Linked DNA regions of Medicago truncatula. The protein of the gene in region 3 interacts with the protein of the main gene of each other region in a pairwise test. Links are inferred from orthologs where the notes say so. Each region holds a gene or a part of one and is shown on either strand. Other genes may lie near its edges.

Region 1 (7,184 bases), on a different chromosome or scaffold from region 3:
AGTAACCAAGTTTTTTATCAAATATAATATCAAAAAACAAACATAATTTTAACAAGCATTATAATATGCATCTATACCTGCAGACACAAAAATATACATAATGATGACAACACATATAATCACACTAGCTATATGAAATAATACAAATTAATAAAATATTCCATCTATAGGGAGTAGTGTTTACACGGAACCTTGATGAGACAAATGAGAAAAAGAAGCAAGAGAACAAATCAATCAAATTCATCATTATTCTTAAGGACCTACTAACACATCATAGCTTAATCTCTTTTTTAGGTCATTAATCAAATCCAATCAACTTTGCAAGATTTTTTTCCATGTTAATTGATCCATATCATAAATCTAAAATCCACTTTGCACTTGTCCCCAGGAAAGTACTTCAGCTCTTTGGAGCTACTCTACTATCTGCATTTTGCACTCCAATTAGGAAAGAAACTTGTGAGTATATACCTCGCAATTACCACTTCTGGGAACAAGTGCAGAAGAAACCCTAATTCATTGGTTATTATTTACAAAACCTAAATTCACCCACCAATCTTCCTGTTCCGAAGTCCTCCAATTTTTGGATTCATTACAAAGTAGATTCTTTAATAATGTTAATATATTAAGAACACTACAAAAGCCAGTGAAATCTGAGAGTTTCTGTGACCTCATCAAAAGGGAAATTTTAAGAAAAAGCTATATGTGTGATGATGCAAGTCTTATAGTTCCCATAAAAACAATACTATCAAGCACACACACAAGAAAAGACGAATTTAACAAGATACCTATATAGTTAAGTTCCTTCAATGCACCAACACCAATGAAATATATATGTACTACTATACATCACCATCTACCTTTATTTTTAGACAAAAAACGCATGAGTTAAGGGCACCTTTGGTAGCAAGTATTAGGAACTCACTTATTTAGGCAAAGAAGATTAAAAAGAGTACAAGCTAGCAATATAAAATACTATTGAAAAAGACTAATTAAGAATTTTTTTTATAAGAAAAGCTAGAAAAAAAAAAGTAGATCTTGTCATAAACTTCAATTTAATTAATTAATTAATAATAATCAAACACTTTTACATACTAACAAAATTAACAAACTCTTCCAAACACAGGCATGCATGGATGCATATGTAAACAACAACAAATATCAAGCAATCAAGATTATGATTTAAAATCTGAATAGTATTTTCTGGAGAGAGAGAGAGAGAGAGGTTATTATCACCAATATTATCTGAAGATGAAGAAACTGTAAGATTTTTGAACTGGACTTCAATCCTTTGAAGAAAAAGCATAGCTTCCTTTAAGGGTTTGGAAAGTTCTTGCTCATACTTGATAAGCATCTCACAGTAAGCTTCCATGAACTGATCTAGAGCTGGATCTTCACCTAAACAACCTGATCCAACTGCATCTCCACCCATTCTCACTGCAGTTGCACATGCTTCTTCTAACCTTGCCACCACTTCACTTGGTGCTCCAACCTAAAAACACAATAATTTTCATGAAGTAAAAAATTTATGAAAAAAATAGTCATGAGATGAAGTGTCTTTATCACATATGCTTAAAAGGGTTTTGACTTACAATAATATACATGATAGTTTGTCAATATTAGTAATAAATGGAAATGAAAACAAAAGGCCACAGTTTCAAAGTACAATTATACAACACAGCTCATCAGATCCAAACTTGTCAAACAAAAAAAGTACAAAGAAATTAATTACACACACATCGTTTTCAAAATAATTATCTTCTTTTTTTTTCTGACCTTTTGACAGTTGATGTAGGCTTCCAAGAGACGGTGATAGTGAGGATGAGCCATGATCTTGGATTTGACAGAAGAAGAAGAGGAAGAAGAGCTTCCATGGTTGTTGATGTTGTCCATGAAATAGTAACCTAAACCAGGAGTGTTTTGATGGTTATTTTGAAGCATGATAGAAGAGGTGTTGTTATTACAGTTGGTGTAGTGATTGTTATTATTGTTAGTGGAATTAGGGATAGGAAGGAAAAGACCGGTTGTGTTGTTTGCATTAGTATTGTTGTTATTGGAATTTATTGGATGATGAGCATTATGATGAGATGAAGTGACTAAAGGCATCATCATCATTGGAGGACATAGCCCACCACTGTTTTCTCCAAAAGCACCCATCACATAAGAACAACTTCCATTAGAACTACCCTCCATTGAATTAATACTCACTCACTCACTCACTTAGCCACAATAACACTTCCTTTTTATTACCCTTTTTGCCTTCTAGGTCAGATTTTTCTTTCTCTCACTTGAATGATATTAATATTGAAGATGTTTTTGTTTCACACAAGGGTCACCCGCCCGGGTTTTATGGTAAAAAAGTAACAGGCTTTTTTACAGAAAAACATAAATAGTGATAGTGTTTTGTGGTGGCTATGTTGTATAGTTACAGTCAGTTACATGAAGAAGTAGTGAAGAGGTTTTTTGGATTCTACTACTGGCAAAAGCCTGCACAGATTTCCTTTGGAAAATGAGTGTTAATCTCTCTTTCCACACATTTTCAGCATTTAATGAAGAAATGAATCTCTCTTTGTCTCTCTAGCTAGTGGATAATACAAGGTTTTTTATGAAGGAGTGAGAAAGCAGTAGAGTGCACGCGGGATATGTAGAGAGAGAGATGAAGGTTGAGTTACAGAAGAAGGGTTAGTGTGAAGCATTGGTGCCAAAAAAAGGTTTTACCTTCCCAATGAAAACTCTACCTTCCTTTTTCTGCACTGCCACTGATACCCCTGCCATACAAAAGCAGTGGAGTGAGAGACAAGAGAACAAGCAAGTTTTTTTTTCTTTTCTTTTCTTTTGTTTTGGAGAGAGGTAGTAATAAATAGTGAGCTAGGAACGATCAAATCGAGGAGGAGAAAACAAGTTACCTACTACTACTATGCTGATGATGATGAATATATTGGGGAAGATAGGTTCATTTCATAGGGCACGGAATCAATCCTTCTCTCTATCTCCCTCACCTCACTCACTCTATTCTTTTTTCTTAGATCAATTCTTATTTTATTAGTATTTATTATACAAGTACAATTTAATCTTTTATAATCACAAGCAAAATATTAACAAATGCCTCCGAGGTACTCTTTAATACCTTTAAATGATAATTTTTTATAAAAATATGTATAATCAATGTATTAGAAATCAAAATATTTAACTTTTATGTAAAATAATTTTTTTCTTTTAAAATCCTTCATGAGTGCCCCGACAGCACTCTTTAACAAAACCTAATTACAAAGACCAAATGAAAGGTTATACAATTTTTATTGTACTATATACCATATTGGTTTTCTTAATCACGGCCCCAAACACTAGTTACCATTTCTCATTGTATAATAAAATCAAAATGGAAACAATCATTTTTAGATACTTAGAATAATTTTATATGTCTGCATCACTCATTTATAATTTTTTAATAATAATATCTAATAAGCAGTCAATCCCTCCAGCTAAACACGGAACACATTAATTATCTACCAATGACTCTATATCATTGCATTTCAAAAATAAAATATTAAAAATAAAAAAATCATCTCACTAAAAATTTAACATCTACATTGAGACTTTGTTCCTATTAATTCAATAACTTTTACTCGATGAAATTACTTAATAAATATCTGGTCTTAAAAAGGAGAGAGATCCCTTGTTGGAGATGGCCTAAATGTTAAACGCACCTAAAGAAAAAAAAATAAGGATTTTGTTCAATTAATATATATATATATATATATATATATATATATATATATATATATATATATATATATATATATATAAGTTTTGCTAGAAGCCACTCATTAAGATGTCCTTTTGCAACCCAACGCACATGTTAAAAACTCAACGAGAGTAACTTTAATTTATATTAAAAAATATAATATTTTGACTTTTAAAAAGATGAATATACAACTTTAAAAATGTATGTTTCGATTCTTAAAAAAATGTATATATTTATAATAAGTTCTTTAACATGCGCCTTAAGGGCATAAGTTAATTAACCAACTTGGATTGGCTTGGAGTAAAGGTGGCAAAACAAACCTAATTATCGGGCCGGCTCATTTAGCTTGCTTTTTTTGGAGAGCTAAGCTGGAGTTTTGAACTCACCACTTCTAATAGGCTCGTCTTGCTTAATTCGTTGAAAAAATGGGATGGGATGGGATAGGGACGGGGCGGGCCAACCCACCAACTCGTCAACTTGAAATTTTTTAATTTTTTATTTTATCGACGAGTTAGACATAATTTAAAATGAAGTGACCAAATAACTCATTATAATCCAATTTTGTCTCGTAAGCTTGTGTTTTAGCACAAATTGATTTGCTCCCAATTTTATTTTATAAATAACCACAACATATTTTTTCATAACAATAAAACTGTTAAAAATTGCATTAAAAATCACGTTTTTTCTTTGACGGCCCGTCAACCCGCCATAAAGCGGGGGATGAAATTTTGAACTCGGCCACCTAAATTGATTCAACCCGTTTCTTCCTGCTTTTTGCGGGTTTAAGTTGGTTGGTCCGCTTTGCCATCACTAGATCCCTAGTCTAGTGATGTTGAGTTAGGATTTTGAAGTGTGCTCATGCTCGAGGTCTCAGATTCGATTATCTCCAATATTAATTTAGATGGATTAATTTAACTTAAAAAAGGCACAAGTTGACATTTGTGTAACTATAAAATATATTGAATTTTTGTCAAAAAAAAAAAATATTGATTGACAATGATACAAGTAATATTAGAGATACGATTGGAAAAAATATTAATGCTATGTTGAAAATTGAAAAGATCAATTATTTCGTGACAAATTTTTGTTTTAGAAAGGTTAATTACTTTAGAACGAGTACATTTAATTTTATGAAAATACAACACTAGTCGTCATTATACTCACTCTCTTTGTTTTCTTCTTGCTCGAGATTAAAAATTAACTCATTTTAGTATACAAGAAACTATAAGATATATAGTTTGTTTCTTTTGAACAATAGTAATTAATGATTAAATCACATTTTTGTCTTGAAAATGTAATTGTTATTTTGAACACTAAATTTATGAAACATAAAATTATTCCCCTAAATTGTCTTACGTCAATCAAAATGTTTCTTTGTTAATTAATTTTATTAGATGTGTTGATGTGTTAATTTAAGTGATATCGTGATTTGTTTAAATCGATGTCACCCCACACATAATATCATAACTACAAGTTTTTGAGACACAACATTATATGGTGGCATAATCAATACAGACTAATGGATTATTCCATCACGAATGGAAATGTAAAAAAATATGTGGTTCTTGAGATTTCAACCACCACCAAACGTATATTTGGTTGCGTTGTGGAAAAAATTGATTTTGATATAATCAATTTTGTAGAATTGATTTTAATTAAAAGTAATTTTTTTTAAAAATGTAATTTATGTTTGGATACGTTCATGTAAAAGTGAGTTGAATTATAAATTTGTATATTAAAATCAATTATAGATTCAAAAGTTACAAATCATATCTCAAATATAATCAATTATGGAGACATGGTCAATTATAATCAACAACAACCAAACATATCAGAATCAATTCTATACCTCCAAAATCAATTATAACCCTCTAAAAATAGAACAAAAAATACACCAAGAGAAAAGTTTAATACGATCTTGTAACATCTAAATTCAACTCTTTGTTACAGCAAACCTACGAGTTACACTTCTTCCAATAAAACATCCAACAAAATCACATACAAGCAATGATGAGTATATCCTTCGTAAACAAATACTACAACTAAACAAACCACCAAATTGAAAAACATGCAAGCAAACATCAGCCGATTGAACAGAAAAAATCTCCAACTATCAGAAAGCCAAGGGCTACCAAAGATGATTAACTTTCTACTTTAATTTTGTGAATTATTAATTAACTCAACAAAGTTTTATCTTTTACTAAATTGAACCCAATATGACGTTGCTATGTTAGCTAGCATGCATATAATCAGTAGTAATTCGAGATAATTTACTGCAGAAAAAGCTAGTGCTGTAGCTAAGTTAATAAAGCTGTAAAGTATGTGGGACAGTCCGAATGTCTCTTCCTCTTTTTTTCTTTGATGACTTGCTAATCTATTTGTAGCACTAGCACCATAGATATCTATATATCCTTCCTCATCGTCCACAATAAAGGCATAGACTTAGCATCACTTCCCGTAAAAATACCGTATAAAAGCAGCTCCATCAGGTTACGTACTTATTGTCGCATCCCATTGTCCCCCCTCCCATCCGGTTTATACTCTTCATTTTTTTTGTTCTCTTTCGTACAGCATTGAAAATTTGAGTTGCTGTCAATTTTAGAATAATAATAATTCAGATTTTTAGAAGGGTTAATTAATTGTTTTTCCCTACAAAATAAAATCATACTTTTTAATCGCTATAAAATTCTCCATCAGCATTTTTAGTCCCTATAAGAACTTTTCATCATTATTTTTAGTCCCTGTAAAAAAATTTCATCAACATTTTGTTCCTAAAAATAAAACTGTGAATATTTACAAGGACTAAAAACTTAATTAACCATTTTTATAATATGTAAATTGTTCCTGTAAGTTGGCGTGTTTTTTGTTTCTGTTTTTGTAACTTTTTGATTCTAAAAATACCCGGTAAGTTTCAAATGTTTTGTTTTTGGTCTTGTCGTCATCATAAGTTACAAAAACGTTGATATATCAAACGGCGACCGATGTGACGATGCGTGACATGGCAAGTGAGGCTTATGTGTCACAATTGACAAGTTTAGAGGGACTAAATCCAAAAATGAAAATTTCCAGGGGACGAAATTCAAAAACACGAATTAACAAATTTCAAATTAAAAATCTTGCTTTTCTTTCTTCATCTTCTTCCTTCTTCTTCTTCATCATCTTCAACCTCACCATCATCAACATTCATCAATCTTCATCATGCCCATTAACATAAATTAAACATTCAAACTCTTTAATCAAAATCTCATTTTCATTTCCATCAAAATCTTCTTCTTCGCCGGATCCAATACATACTCAATTCCAAATCTAAATCATACTCAAACCCTAAAATCTCCGGATCTACCCCAAAATCGCATCCCTTTAGTGTAGTAAAACCTTTATGGATCCTTGTGTTGGTTCTTATTCTATTTCCTTCTATCGATTCATCATCACCCAAAATCAT
Region 2 (5,545 bases), on a different chromosome or scaffold from region 3:
CGCGCTTGGGAAAGTGAGTGGGTCTAAAAGTGGAGGAAAATATACGCTGCCAAAATGGTAAGAACCAGATCTCTGACTAGAAAAGGAATGCCATCATGCTGATACCCACACGCTCGCATCGCAGTTCCCGCTCTCAGCATAAACCAGACCCACTCGCGCGTGAAACCAAACTCCCTTTACACAACGCCGTTGTTTTCTAACGTGGTCCAAAACCAACAGCATCAAATTTACTGGTGTCACTCCCTCGTCGGTTGCCGCCCAACATTCCAAATGCTCCAAACCGTAAAACATTTTAGATTCTATTATTACTAGTAGTTCAAATATTTTGGACAAAGATTACATAATGTGTCCATCATACCCATTATTAAAACTACAATTTGCCAAGCAAAGTGTCATATGAAAAAGAATAGTTGATGTGAACCCATAGCATTTATTTCAACGTGAGAATCTAGCTCAATAACACTCATACTAGTCATAGACATCAATTAATATGGAAATAAATAAATAAAATATCATAAAGTACTTCATTTTTTTTTTTTTAAATGTTAGATTGCCATAGATACATTACAAAGATAAGATAGGTAGATACTCCCTCATGATAACTATGCCGCTAATAAGGGAGAAAAAGACAAGATTAATTAGATAAGATCCTAAAACGACGCCGTTAAAAAACTACAATAAATCATCTCATTTTACGCTACTTATTTGTCTAGGGTTTTTCAAAGCCACAACGGTGGAGGTTCATTCAAGTCAATCGGAATCCCACGTCGAACAAGTCCCAAGTAAGCCGCCGTCGGAGAGTTCTCAGCCACCATAGTTCTGCCGGCGACAGCAAGAGTAACTTCATTATGCCTCTGTCCAACCACCCCGCCGATGGGTGGAGGTGGAGGAGGGTTGAAATCCTTGAGAACACCAGTTTGAAGAAACTCAGTAAGCACACGGCCACGTGAAGGGACAGATGGCCATCGGAGATCAGAAGAAGGAGCGTTGAGATCCAAACAAAGTCCTCCGGCGACCGGCGCCGGTGGGAAGTTGGTTTTTGCTTTAGCTCCACGAAGAGAACGAGCGGCGCCGTCGTAAGCAAGAGCAGCTTCTTCAGGAGTGTCAAATGTACCCAGCCAAACACGCGTTTTCTTCCACGGATCGCGAATCTCAGCGGCGTAGCGTCCCCATGGTCGCTTCCTAACACCTCTGTAGTGTCCTTCACGATTCGCTGAAGAAGTTGAAGAAGAAGCCATGAAAACAAAGAAAAACAACACAAGAAGAGAGAAAAGAAAGGGTTTGCGAAGTGAAGTGAGAAGTGATTTGAGTTTATAAAAGTGAAGGGACCCACATTGGCTCCCGTAATTGTCGGCTGGCCGGCACCACTACAATACTACTACTACCACCCTTTGGTTTTGATTTTTGGTTTGTGATTATGTTTGTATATATAGACACAAAAAACCACACGAGGTGGGAAGCAAATTTGGATAAAATAAAGGGGAGCCGTTGATACTGATGGACGGCTATGATGTGAGGATGAAAGAAAGTGGTGGGACCCTATTGGGATAGCCGCCGGCTGAAAAGACGTATGGGGTGGAAGGAAGTGGGGGCTGTAGGAGCGTGACGTATGCCCTACTGTTGTTGTACGGTGTTTGCTCAGCGGCGCCTGACACTTTTTTCAAACTACTCCTGTCATTTTTTTTTATCTTTTATACTCATCCGTAATTTTATTTAATTTACCTAATAATATAAGGTGACAACTAGGGTACCCATGGAAGAATGGTGGGTAATTTACCCCAACCAATACACATTAGCCACATAAGCACATTTTTAAGTGGTATCCATGAACTATCTTAACCCCACCAACAAATTGTTCATTTTCATTGGTTGGTGGGTAAATTACCCACCATTCTTCAAAGGTAATCTAGAAAAAACCATAATGTAATCATATTCCACTTTCATTGCTAATGTTAAATTTCGTTGGTGAATTATTAATAATATTTTTGTCTTCGGGAGCATAGTTTATTTGGATGAAATAGTTCATTGTAACATGCGGTGTTTTTTATTTTTGAAGGATGTAACATGCGGTGTTTGAATTTTAAAGAATCTATTTATTCATCTTAAAATAATATTCTAAATATTAGATTAATTAATTACAAAAAACCATCTTTCAAATAAAAAAACTACAAAAAACCTCACTAAGATTTGCTTTGTCATGTTAACTTATGTTGTTAGGCACAAGTTAGAGAGTTACGAAAACAATTAAAAGAATTATTTTGTATTTCAAAAATAAATTTAAATTTGAGTTAAATACATAGTTTTTAAGATTTTGTTTCATCTTTTAGTAATGATATGTGTAAAACCATTTGTCAAAACTTTTTTTTTCTTTTTTGATTAGTCAAAAACTATATAAAGAAAAAAAAGGAAGAGAGAAAGTTAAACAATAATGTAAATACTCCTCCGTCTCTATATCTAAACATCCATTTGATTTTATTTTAGTCCTTAAATGTAATCCCCTTTCTAAATTACTAGATGCATTTATTATTTTTTTTTCTAAACATACCTTTAATTAATACTCCATCCGTTCTAAAATATAAGCAAAAAAATCTTATTTTCTTTGTCTCAAAATATAAGCAAAAAAGATCAATTTTTATGCTATTATTATGTTTTTTCAAACAAAACATCTTTTTCAATGTAAAATTAAATGCAAATTGCATTCAATTTATTCTCCTTTTTATTTTCTCCATAATTTTTAACCAACGAGAATTATTTTTACATCTTTCCATGAAACTTATTTTAAGGAGAACACAAAAAATTATACCTCAAATCATTAAGTGTTAGTTTTCTTGAAATTTAATACACATACAAACAAAGAACAATTTAGTAATATTAACACAGAAAACAGAAACATTAATTACACTAATAACTTTTCTTAAGAAATATAAAAAAAGCAAAGGGAGTTTACATTAAAGGACGAAGGTAGTATAAGAGATAAAATTGTTTAAAAGTTGTCACAAAATAAACATTAAAATATCAATTATGTTCAATTTTTTTTTTTTTGGTACAAATTATGTTCAACTTTACATTGCCTTGAGGGCATAAGTTATTTTTTTATTTTTTTTAGAATTTTATTTCAAAAAATATTCTATTTAATGTTTGTGTTTTTTTGGGGATTGAGATGTGTCATTGGAGATGAATAGTGGTTTATTGGATTGGAGGGGGAGTTTGTAATAAATAAAGAGGTATTATGGGAATTTGAGTTGTGGTAATGAAAGAGAAAGGTGAGATGAGGTGGATAAATATGATTGGATAGGGTAATATGTGGGGTTAGGTTAGTGCAGGGAGAGAGACTCCCACGTGGAATGGTGTCTGAGTAGCAGGGAACAGGTGAAATTGGGCCACCTTGAGAAAATGGGCTTATTTTTTTCTTTTTTATGGTCTTGTTGGCGTGTTTGACTACGTTGTTGTTGCTTGGGCTCTGTTGTAGTACTAGCTTTAATAAGTCTGCTACGGAGGAGTATTATTTTTTGTGGAGTAAAGAAAAGAAAAAGGACGAAAATTGAAAAGTGAGATCAGTGAGTGGTGAAAGTCAGGGACTGGGAGGGTGGATGGGTGGGTGATGAATCAGGTTCAGAGTGAGTGACTGCAGCTAGCAGATGGCCACACTGTGTATGCCTACAGATACGGATGTGTGTAGTAATAATAATCGTCACGTGAATTCATTCATCTTTTTTTATTAAAAATTACTCGGTTTTTGTTTCTATACGTCACTTTTATTTTCCTGTTTTAAAATATAAAAAAAATTTATTTTTTAGATTTATTTATTTAATGATGTATGTGGTTCATAATATGGACCACATACATTATTAAATAAATTATGGACCACATACATCATTAAATAAATGAACCTAAAATATGAATTTTGCTTATATTTTGAAATGGAGGGAGTAGTTTTTAAGGAAAATGTCCGGGCTATTAAGACTCCTACACTCTCCATCTCTTTTTTATAAGAATGCAAAACCGCGGATATTAAAAAAAAATGTTTAAAGTAATAAATTTATTATGTTATTATCACCAAAATTATTTATTGCCTGTTGAGATATTTATTTAAGGTTAATCTTTCGTATTTTATATTTAGACCCGCGCTTAATTGTTAGATTTGATTAAGGTTGAATCCACTTTCTGAAATTTTTATTTTATCATATTTTATTTTATTTTGTTAGAGTTGTTAACTGAATCAGGTTTTATGTAATTTTTCTTTTTTTAATAATATATATGAGCAATGCATAAAATATGTAAGGTCCGGGGTTGGGACCTCGGCTACCACAAAAAAAAAGAGTAGTGTTCCAACTTAGTTGGACACTATTTTTTTGATGTCATTTTGGTCTTGTCTTATAAAAAAAGTATACTAATAAGTTCTTTAAAAACAAAAGAGTAATGATAGGTAAACACCCTTAATGGGTACATACCAAATTTCAGCTGCTCTAACAGTGATCCACACATTTAAATTAAACAAATATAAATGAATGTACCAGGGCAGCTGTTATGTAAAGTAGCCCTCATTTATCCTCCACAGAATATTATGATTTCTGTTTACATTTTAATTTTTGAACTGTTACAAATATTCTATCAACAAACTAAAAAAATATTGAAGTTCAAACGTAAAATGAGTAATAAAAAAAAGTAAACATGTAATGTACAAAATTGTGATTTACAAATTAGTAGGATTCTCAGCCTGTAAGGTAGTGCAGTACAGCCATCAGAATACCCCTGCCATACATACATCAAAATACGATTATTGAATGAAAAAAAAATCAAATCAATTGAGGATGGGAAAGTGAAGAATGCTAGGATAGTTTTCCAAAAATACCAGAATAAATGGAATGCTATCCTCCAAGCAAGATAGGTCCATTCTCCGCAGCAGTATGAGAATTGCCATAATTATTACTATGCCTCGTCATCTGTATATCGCGTGAAAAATGGGTCCTCTTTTGTGCATATGGTGCTGCCCTCGCTATAAAAGAAAAAAGAGATATATTATTGTGATTTCAAATTAAGACACTATCCATGTACAACTACAAGATCATATACATCTAGAAAAAGCTCAATGCAGTAACAGCATATTAAGATATTAACATCCTTACCTGCAATTTGCTGAGCCCGGATGATATTCTTCCGCCTTTTACACCAGCAAACTGAACAGGTAATCAGAAGTAGAAAAGTAAAAAAAGCACCTAAGCCAATGCCAACTTTAGCACCGGCAGAAAGATGAGGTCCGCATGTAGGTAATCCAGGTATACCACACAGACCCGAATTGTCCGTAAAACTGCAGCAATCCACATGTTTTTATTTAGCAACCTTAATCATAAAGAAAGGGGAGAAATAGCATGTAGATATGGTTCTTTTCTCTTTGCATATAAATAGAACTTAAGTTTATTCTAGACTTTTATCACAACATACTTGAAGCTAGCTCTGTGCAGAAGCCTTCCTCCTAGAGTTGCCGGTACCATTCCGGACAGAAAGTTGCCATTAAGGTTCCTGCATGGTAATTATTTTAATATGA
Region 3 (7,840 bases):
ACTCTCACCACTTGTGTAAGCAGCAACCATGTCAGAAGAAGAATGATGCGTATTATAAGATGAAAAATCAATATCAACCGAGCCAAACGCATCCGCGGCTAATTGATGATGATTCAAATTCTTATTATTAGCATCATTTTTATGATCATTGTTGATGATAGACGAGACACATTCAGAATCGATTCGAAGGAGTCGTGGCTTTTGATCCTCGTGAGGTTGAGTTTGAGATTGGTTTTGAAGTACATTAAGATTATCCTCTTCATGATTAATATTGTTTCCTCCGTCCGAGGTTGTCGTGTTTCTTTGTTGCTCTTTCTCTTCTTCCAAATACATTTCTTCCACCATTGGCTTCCATAGTCTCACTCTTGCATTAATAAACCAATTTGATACCTGCTTTTCAATTAATTAATAATTAAATAACATGTGTCACCTTAAAAACTTTCAATTAATAAATTTACAATAATAACATATTATATGTCTATATTAAGACTTACTCTTTACAAATATTAATATCAAATTTTTGGGTGACGGATCTGAGAAGACCATCTAATATATATGACTATTTAATTAAATATGAAATTGAAAGAGTTTGTCCAATGAAGGGAAATATATTAATATTTTTATTATTAATATAATAGAAAATCAACATGCCTGGCTTCTTGAGAGACCGGTTTGGCGGGCCAAAATATGCTTATCAACGTCGCTTGGGTACCTATAAAAAATTATACAAAAAAAAAAAAAAAAAATTAATATATGACCTTGTGTGGCACGTATGAATTAAATAGTAATTAGAAAATAAAACTAACTATATTAGAGATAAGAAGAAATGGCCCTACAAAGGAAGAATTATTTAAGTCCACATAAAAATAAAAAGAAGTAGTTGAGAAAGAGACGCAAAAATAAAAGTAAGAGAAGATGATGTAGAAATGATTGAAAATAATATGACAATACTATACACAACAACATACATATGAAAAGATGGAATCTGAATGGTGATGCACAGAAACTAACAAAAAAAAATGCGTAGGATATAATTTTTTATATTTGTTGAAGCACATTAATGTAAAAGATTCTTGATATGAGAAAACTTACGATACCATAACACAACTGCCAATAGTTGTTTTTATTTTTTGAAATGGAGACAACATTGATTCTTTAGAAAAATGTATTTTGTACCTTACTTCTATTAGAACTACTTACTTGAACATAGAAAGAAATAAATAAAATATGAATGAAATGAAGAAAAAAAAAGAATTACGGATGAAGAAAGTGTTCAAAAAGCCAAGCCCTGAGAATTGAAACAGAACGTTCAGGAAGACCACGTTGAGGTCTCCAAGGATGTGTTTCCATCATGTTGATTTGTTGAAATGCTCTTTGTTGTCTCAAAACTCTGTCAAGTATTTTAAGCCTAGGTGTTTCACCCTTTGTTGTTCCAGGTGCAACAGGGTCTTTTTCTCCCATTGCTTTTCTTGTTGTTTGAATTTGTTCTAAAATTCCATCTTTCAAACACCTAAAATGTCTTGACATAGCTTTTAAAGCCAAAGCTGAATATACTTTCGCAGCTCCATTTCCAGCTACAGCTTCAAATGATGAAACCACACTCCTCATTTGATTACAATAGTGTTTGTACCTTCTATCAACCTTATACACAAAAGTAAAAAAACAATATTTAAATAAATAATTTTCATGAGTTTGAAAGTTACTTCCACCATAGAAATAAAAATGAAACCTAACAATTTTTATTGGTAAGAAAAGCAAAAAGGTAACATTAAAAAGTTTCAATTGTCACGGGGTGAAGGCATTTATGATAAGACTTCACTAGCTGCTTAATTAGTTCAAGAATCAAAATCCAAATTAAGACACCAATCTCAACCAAAAGTTAAGAGCCTTGATTATGACTTGAACTTAATAGTCTTTGATTAATGAAATGAAATAATAAAATAATTTAAATTTGAAACATATAAATAGTAGTACTATAATATGTAATAATATACCTCTTCTAGCATGGAAAGGAGCTTAGTTTTTCTCTTCTGCAATTCAACAAACTCTACAGAGGTTAAAGATTGTTTGATTGAAGAACTGCTACCACCATTGTTGTTATCATCTTCCCAACTTTGCTTGTTGTTGAACTTTTGAGATTTTTGCTTTTGTAAAACTAAATCATTTTGCTTAGTACTTTCTAAACTACAAAACTCATTGAGAAGTTCTTGTGCTGGAAGTAAGAACTTAGAGTTTTTGAGAAGAAAATGACCTTGATACCCTTGATCTTGCAAATGATGATTAGTAGTATGTCTTAGTTCAAAAGATTGTAAACCAATAGAGGAAGGGTTTGTTGAACTAAGAGAGAGTGAAAGTCCTTGACTTGGTCTTTCATTACCTTCACAAGGGAAAACACATCTTAAAGATGAATCATCAACTTGTTGCCACTGATGATGTGAAGATGAATCATGATGAACCATGTTGTTTAGATTCTGATCACTACTTGTTGTATCAGAAACAGTGAAATCTTGATGATGATAGAAATTATCATTCATGGTTTTTGAAGAAGAGGAAGGACCAACATGTTGTTGACTTAGTTTTCCTGAGAAATTTGTTTTCCACATGACAGAGTTTGTTGTGTCAGTACTATGTTGTTGAAGATGTTGTTTGGAAAAACCTATCATCTCCATCCCTGTTGTGAGATTGAACATCTCTGGATCGGACACAAAACCTTGGATTTGTGTTTGAATCGTTGGGTTGTAACAAAATCCACCACTTGATGTTTTGTCATCTTCATGACAAAGTTGTCTAGCCATGAATAAAAATTTTCAAACTTCAATATATCTAGCTATAGTTTCAAATATAAATTAAGTGAATTAATTTATATTATGAGGGGAGCATGAGTGTGGAAGAAAGATGAGATATAGTTGCTCAGAAATAGAAGATGAGATAGCTAGCTAGAGAGGGTATTGATGATGACCTCCATGCTATCATATACTCTTTTTTTTTTCTTTATATTTCTCTCTCTCTCTCTCTCTTTCTTAACAACTGATGAGTCAATGGACCAAGATTTATAAATACAACCAAATTAGTCTTCATATTCCCACCAAAAATATTAATTAATATCAAGGAAATTTCCTCAATTATTTCTTACCTAGTATTAGAAAAATCTTATAATCAATAAATGTTCAAAACAGATAATTCTTCTTATATTATTTCAATCTATTGTAAACAATATTTAACTCATTGTTTTATTTTATTTATTTAGGGGATTTTACTCATTGTTTTTCTTATATAACTGTATTATTTTTTGAAAATTGAAGTAAATTATGTTGCATAATATATTTATATATCTTTTATTCAGTCAAGAAAATAAAAAAGACTAACCTTCTCTACAAATTAAATTACATATATATATATGATGAAGCAGGACCAGCAACAAGTAATGATGTCCTCTGCCTCATACATAAACTATGAGCCGCCACTTGAATTGTTGTATCACATGTATGAGGAATTAATTATGGTTCTTTACAGTTTATTTCTAGACCATGAAGATTTATTGCAGCTCATAGAAAAAAATGATGATTTAATGCAGTTCAATTTTTGCATTTTTGGTCTATATTAGTTGAAACTTTTAAATACACAAATGAACTCATATAAAGAATATATTAATTTAAAGCATTAGATTTAAGATCTACTCTAATTTTACATAAACTAGTAAATATAATTTTGATAAATCACAACGGATCGTTGTGATTCTAATATACTCATCATGATACCAAACGTAAATATAATTTATAAATAAAAAAAAAATTATATATTGCTTAAAATATTATCGAATAGATTATGGTTCACAAACTCTTCATCTTTTTATGGAATAAATTCTCCTTTTAACATCACAAATATTATTTTGAGCAACAATAATGGTGCCACATTTAAATTTAAATTGGAGTCTAAAATTGTCACGGTTACCTTGGAGTATTTAATTAATCTGCATGGAAGTTAAATTAAAGAAATAAGAATAGGAATAAGGAGATCTTTGTAGGGAACGGATCCCTAGATTGAAGTCATTCCTAAGTAAAGTCTTTTACAGGCTTTTTCAGATGAGAAAAAGGCTCTGTTTGGGATGAGTTAGGTGGGTCCTCCTCCTTCTGTTTTCTCTGTTGTCTTTCTGAGCCATAAGCTACCAGTTATTCTCTTCCAATCTGTTTCCACTCACGAGAGATATATTGAATGAAGTTGCTCTAATATTATTACACTATCATCCACATAGGACTATATATATTTTCTCTTCTCAAATATTCCTCCATTATTATTTTGTATTCTTATTAATTATACATACATCAATTAGTGAGTATTAACTAACCGTCATATCGTTTGTTAATATATATACGTACATGTAAAAAAAACTAAATAATAAGGTATAGTGATGGACAAAAGTTGATAAAAATTTATGTTCTCATATCTTATATTTTAGTACTATTAGATTAGATATATAGTTGAGAGAAAACGATAATTATAGTTAAAATAACTGAGTAAAATTACCTTAGTGAATGAAGTAGAGAACCAATAAGACATACAAAACAAATTGATTTTTTTTACCGATATACATAGTTGTTTAGTGTGTGTAAAACGTTCCTAAAATAAGGAGTGAAGATGAGATGAGAAATAGAGATGAGGTGGTCCTATCTTTGCACATCTAATTCTTATTAATTGGTGTAATAAAGTACTCCACCCACATATCCTCCCCAAACCATTTTGCATGGGAGGGACCGCATCTTTTTCTTTCTTCATTTTCATTTATCGTCAAATATGCCTCTCCACGCGGATGACTTTTGCGATACTTATAAACAATTAGTGCAAAACCAAATTTAAGACCAAAAACAAAACAACAAAAGCGTGTCATGACAAATTTAATAGCACTTCTAATTTGAGAGTTTAATCTTTTGGTTACAGTTAACACAAAGTTTAATGGTATACCTTCAGAAAAAGTTTTATGTGTTTCCAACTATATATGTTTCAATGCTTGTGATTTATATATGGACTAACACTGAACTTACTATAACGCAGTTGAGATGGAATCATTATCTAAATTAGCTTTATCCCGGCGTTCCGAAAACTAGATGAGTATTTAAGGGAAGGGGATTTTCTCCGGTGTGTTTCTCTCAAGTTTTCTGCAGTGTGGGAATCTACACCATTAAATTTATTATATCTCATAATTTTTAGGAAAATGCTTGATGTTACGAGACACAGTCTTGCACGAATTTATACGAATAGTAACTATTCATTTTATTTTCAAAACCCAACAAGCTAGATTAAATTTCTATAAAGAATATAGGAGTAACTACCATCTGCCAACATTTCTCAGTTTTTTTATGCTTCATTTCTCTCTCTCACGTTCTCATGTATATACCTTCGTATGCAATGATGATATCAAATATGAAGCGATGTGAGGTTGGCGGTGATCAATAGTGCTATATGGTAAACATCATATGCAATGATAGTTATATAAGATTCTATTGTGAGCATATTTAATCCGTTTAAAATAATTAAAATGAGCCAGATATGGTGATTTTATAAGGCAAACAAGCTGTCCTGCATTTTGTGCGAAGAAAAGTCTCGTACCATATAGCACTACTGTAATTTCTAATTTGTCACATTTAGATTTTCAAGTATTTATTTTTATTTAAAAACTAATATTTAACTGAACTCTTCAGTCGCGGCAAATGATCAATTCCCATATTTGAGTGCTACATTCTACCTAGGGTGTACATGGGTTGGATTAACTAGAAAATCCGGTCAAACCTACCCATAAAACCTAAAAAAAAATGGGTTGGGGCGGTAATTGGGTGGGTATGGTTTCTAAAAATGAAAACCCCATAAAAATAAATCGATTTTGGGTAAAATTAGACTCAGACTCAATAAATCCACTTACTCAATAAGGTCAATATTTTTTATCTTTATTTTCATAGGGTAGAAGAAAAATACTAAAGGTTATGATCATAAACCAAGTTATATTTCTAAGAGAAATGATATTTTTACAACCAATTTGTGACAACTTTTGTACAACTTTCTCTCTCATACTCACATGATGGTCTTATCTTCTCTCTTCCATTTTCTCTCTCCATTGTTTTTGACCAATAAGAAGAGAGAAAAACAAGTTGTCACTAAAGTTGTCATGGAATGGATGTACAAATATCATTGTTATATTTCTAAACATACACATTGTATCCTATATAATGAAAATCAAAACATGCTAATGTTACAGATCAAGATGTTGCAATTTTTGGTTAATTTAATACTAATGCAATTTAATGTTATGCAGCTTTAGTTTGTTGCAAGTATTTTATGTTGGAGTTTATTATTTGATATTATAATTTATTATTCTATGATGCATAAAATTATAATAAAAATAAGTTAACCAATTATGTTTAAGAGAATTAAAAAGTTGAGTAATATTTAAGATAAATTATGAGTACTGTTGTTTAGTCATTTAATATTAAAAAATAAAAAAATAAGTTGGGTAATCCATTACCCAATCATACTCAACCCAAAAATTAGCGAATTTGGTCAAACCCATCCAATAATATAATGGGTGGTTAAGAGATTTATCTATAAAATTAGTCCATAAACCAATTTTTAAGAGATTTGAAGGATTAACTTGATAGATTAGTAGTAGTATAAGGATTATTTAGTATATTTCTATAGTTTATTCATCAAACTGGAGAGAATGTGATAGTTTTGAAACCAAATTGATGGTTTATTATATTTGAAAGAATAAGTTGAGAGGATAGGTGCAGAAAATGAAAGTTAGTATAGGTTGAAATGAAGTGTGTGAAAAAGGGTAGTAATGGTGTTGTAAGTAGGAGGAACAGCTTTCTCCGCCGCTTGCCAAATTTCCCTTTGCTCTACTCTTCTCACCCTTACATACAGGCCTATAAATACAACAATGATGTCACTACCTCTCTCACCCCACTGATTCTTTTTGGCCTTTGTGCACTACGCACTCTTCTCATGCATGATGCAACAAATCACTATACACCTTCATCACTTTATATATCCATGTACTAGTACGTTTAGGCAGACTCCCAACATTTATGACAGCATAATAGTTTTTATTACAACTTGTTTATGTACTAGCAAAAATCATTTATTTTTATTTACAATAAACACAAATCCTTTATAATGATAATATATTATGGCACCACATCTTCATATATAAAAAGTACCTAAGAAGGGAGCATTATTGTATATGAGCATGAGCTCCTCTCTCTAGTTATATATGTACTATGAAATAATCAAAACTAAAGGTCAAAGACTGATCAAATCAAATCAAAACAGAATCAAATGAAAAACTCAATGATGTATATTAAATTATTATGACATATTATAGTTATATTGGACATAGTAAAAAAATGAACTTTCCTATTTTCAGTAAATTTTAATGGAAAATTATTATGTGTTTTTCTATTATAAAATTGATTTTTTACAAATCTCTAGTTTTGGACCATTTTGAAATGTGATATTGGATAAATGTCTATTTTTTTTTCTTCTGTTGCTATTAATTTAGTTAGACATGTACAAGTTTCAAGAAGCAAAGTAATAACAATAAGGTGCGGCCATGGGATATATAGAGGGGTCAAGTCAATTGGAGACTCCACAAATGGCGGGGGATTTATCTGGCGCGAGTTAGAACACAGTTGAACTCTGAGACATGATTTCATTTGAGTCACATTTTTGAACAGGTTTCATGTTAGAACAACGTGCCACACAACCAGGCTATGATAGGGTGGTCCACTTTCATATTTCTTTATGTGTATAAAAATAACTTTATTTACTCGTACAATAGTAGTATATTTGT

Evidence for each region. The genes of interacting proteins can lie anywhere in the genome.
Region 1: the proteins of homeobox protein BEL1 homolog (region 3) and homeobox protein SBH1 interact in binary tests that used the Arabidopsis thaliana proteins (3 or more experiments, as listed by UniProt). The link is inferred for Medicago truncatula from reciprocal best matches to the Arabidopsis thaliana genes BEL1 and STM.
Region 2: the proteins of homeobox protein BEL1 homolog (region 3) and ethylene-responsive transcription factor 12 interact in binary tests that used the Arabidopsis thaliana proteins (3 or more experiments, as listed by UniProt). The link is inferred for Medicago truncatula from reciprocal best matches to the Arabidopsis thaliana genes BEL1 and ERF12.

The regions. Positions count from the first base shown.
Region 1 is NC_053043.1:8,828,606-8,835,789, forward strand, and holds the start of homeobox protein SBH1, read right to left. Parts: upstream 3,002-7,184; 5' UTR 2,191-3,001; coding exon 1,774-2,190; intron 1,490-1,773; coding exon 1,234-1,489; intron 1-1,233. UniProt on the Arabidopsis thaliana protein: Required for shoot apical meristem (SAM) formation during embryogenesis. Negatively regulates ASYMMETRIC LEAVES1 (AS1) and ASYMMETRIC LEAVES2 (AS2 or LBD6). Probably binds to the DNA sequence 5'-TGAC-3'. Binds to RNA.
Region 2 is NC_053043.1:4,049,795-4,055,339, reverse strand, and holds ethylene-responsive transcription factor 12, read right to left. Parts: upstream 1,412-5,545; 5' UTR 1,239-1,411; coding exon 720-1,238; 3' UTR 502-719; downstream 1-501. Other genes in the region: receptor-like protein 4, read right to left, coding at 4,869-4,996, 5,127-5,308, 5,443-5,520.
Region 3 is NC_053049.1:45,421,929-45,429,768, reverse strand, and holds the start of homeobox protein BEL1 homolog, read right to left. Parts: upstream 3,035-7,840; 5' UTR 2,796-3,034; coding exon 1,995-2,795; intron 1,642-1,994; coding exon 1,259-1,641; intron 713-1,258; coding exon 652-712; intron 391-651; coding exon 1-390. UniProt on the Arabidopsis thaliana protein: Plays a major role in ovule patterning and in determination of integument identity via its interaction with MADS-box factors. Formation of complex with AG-SEP dimers negatively regulates the carpel identity process and favors the maintenance of ovule identity.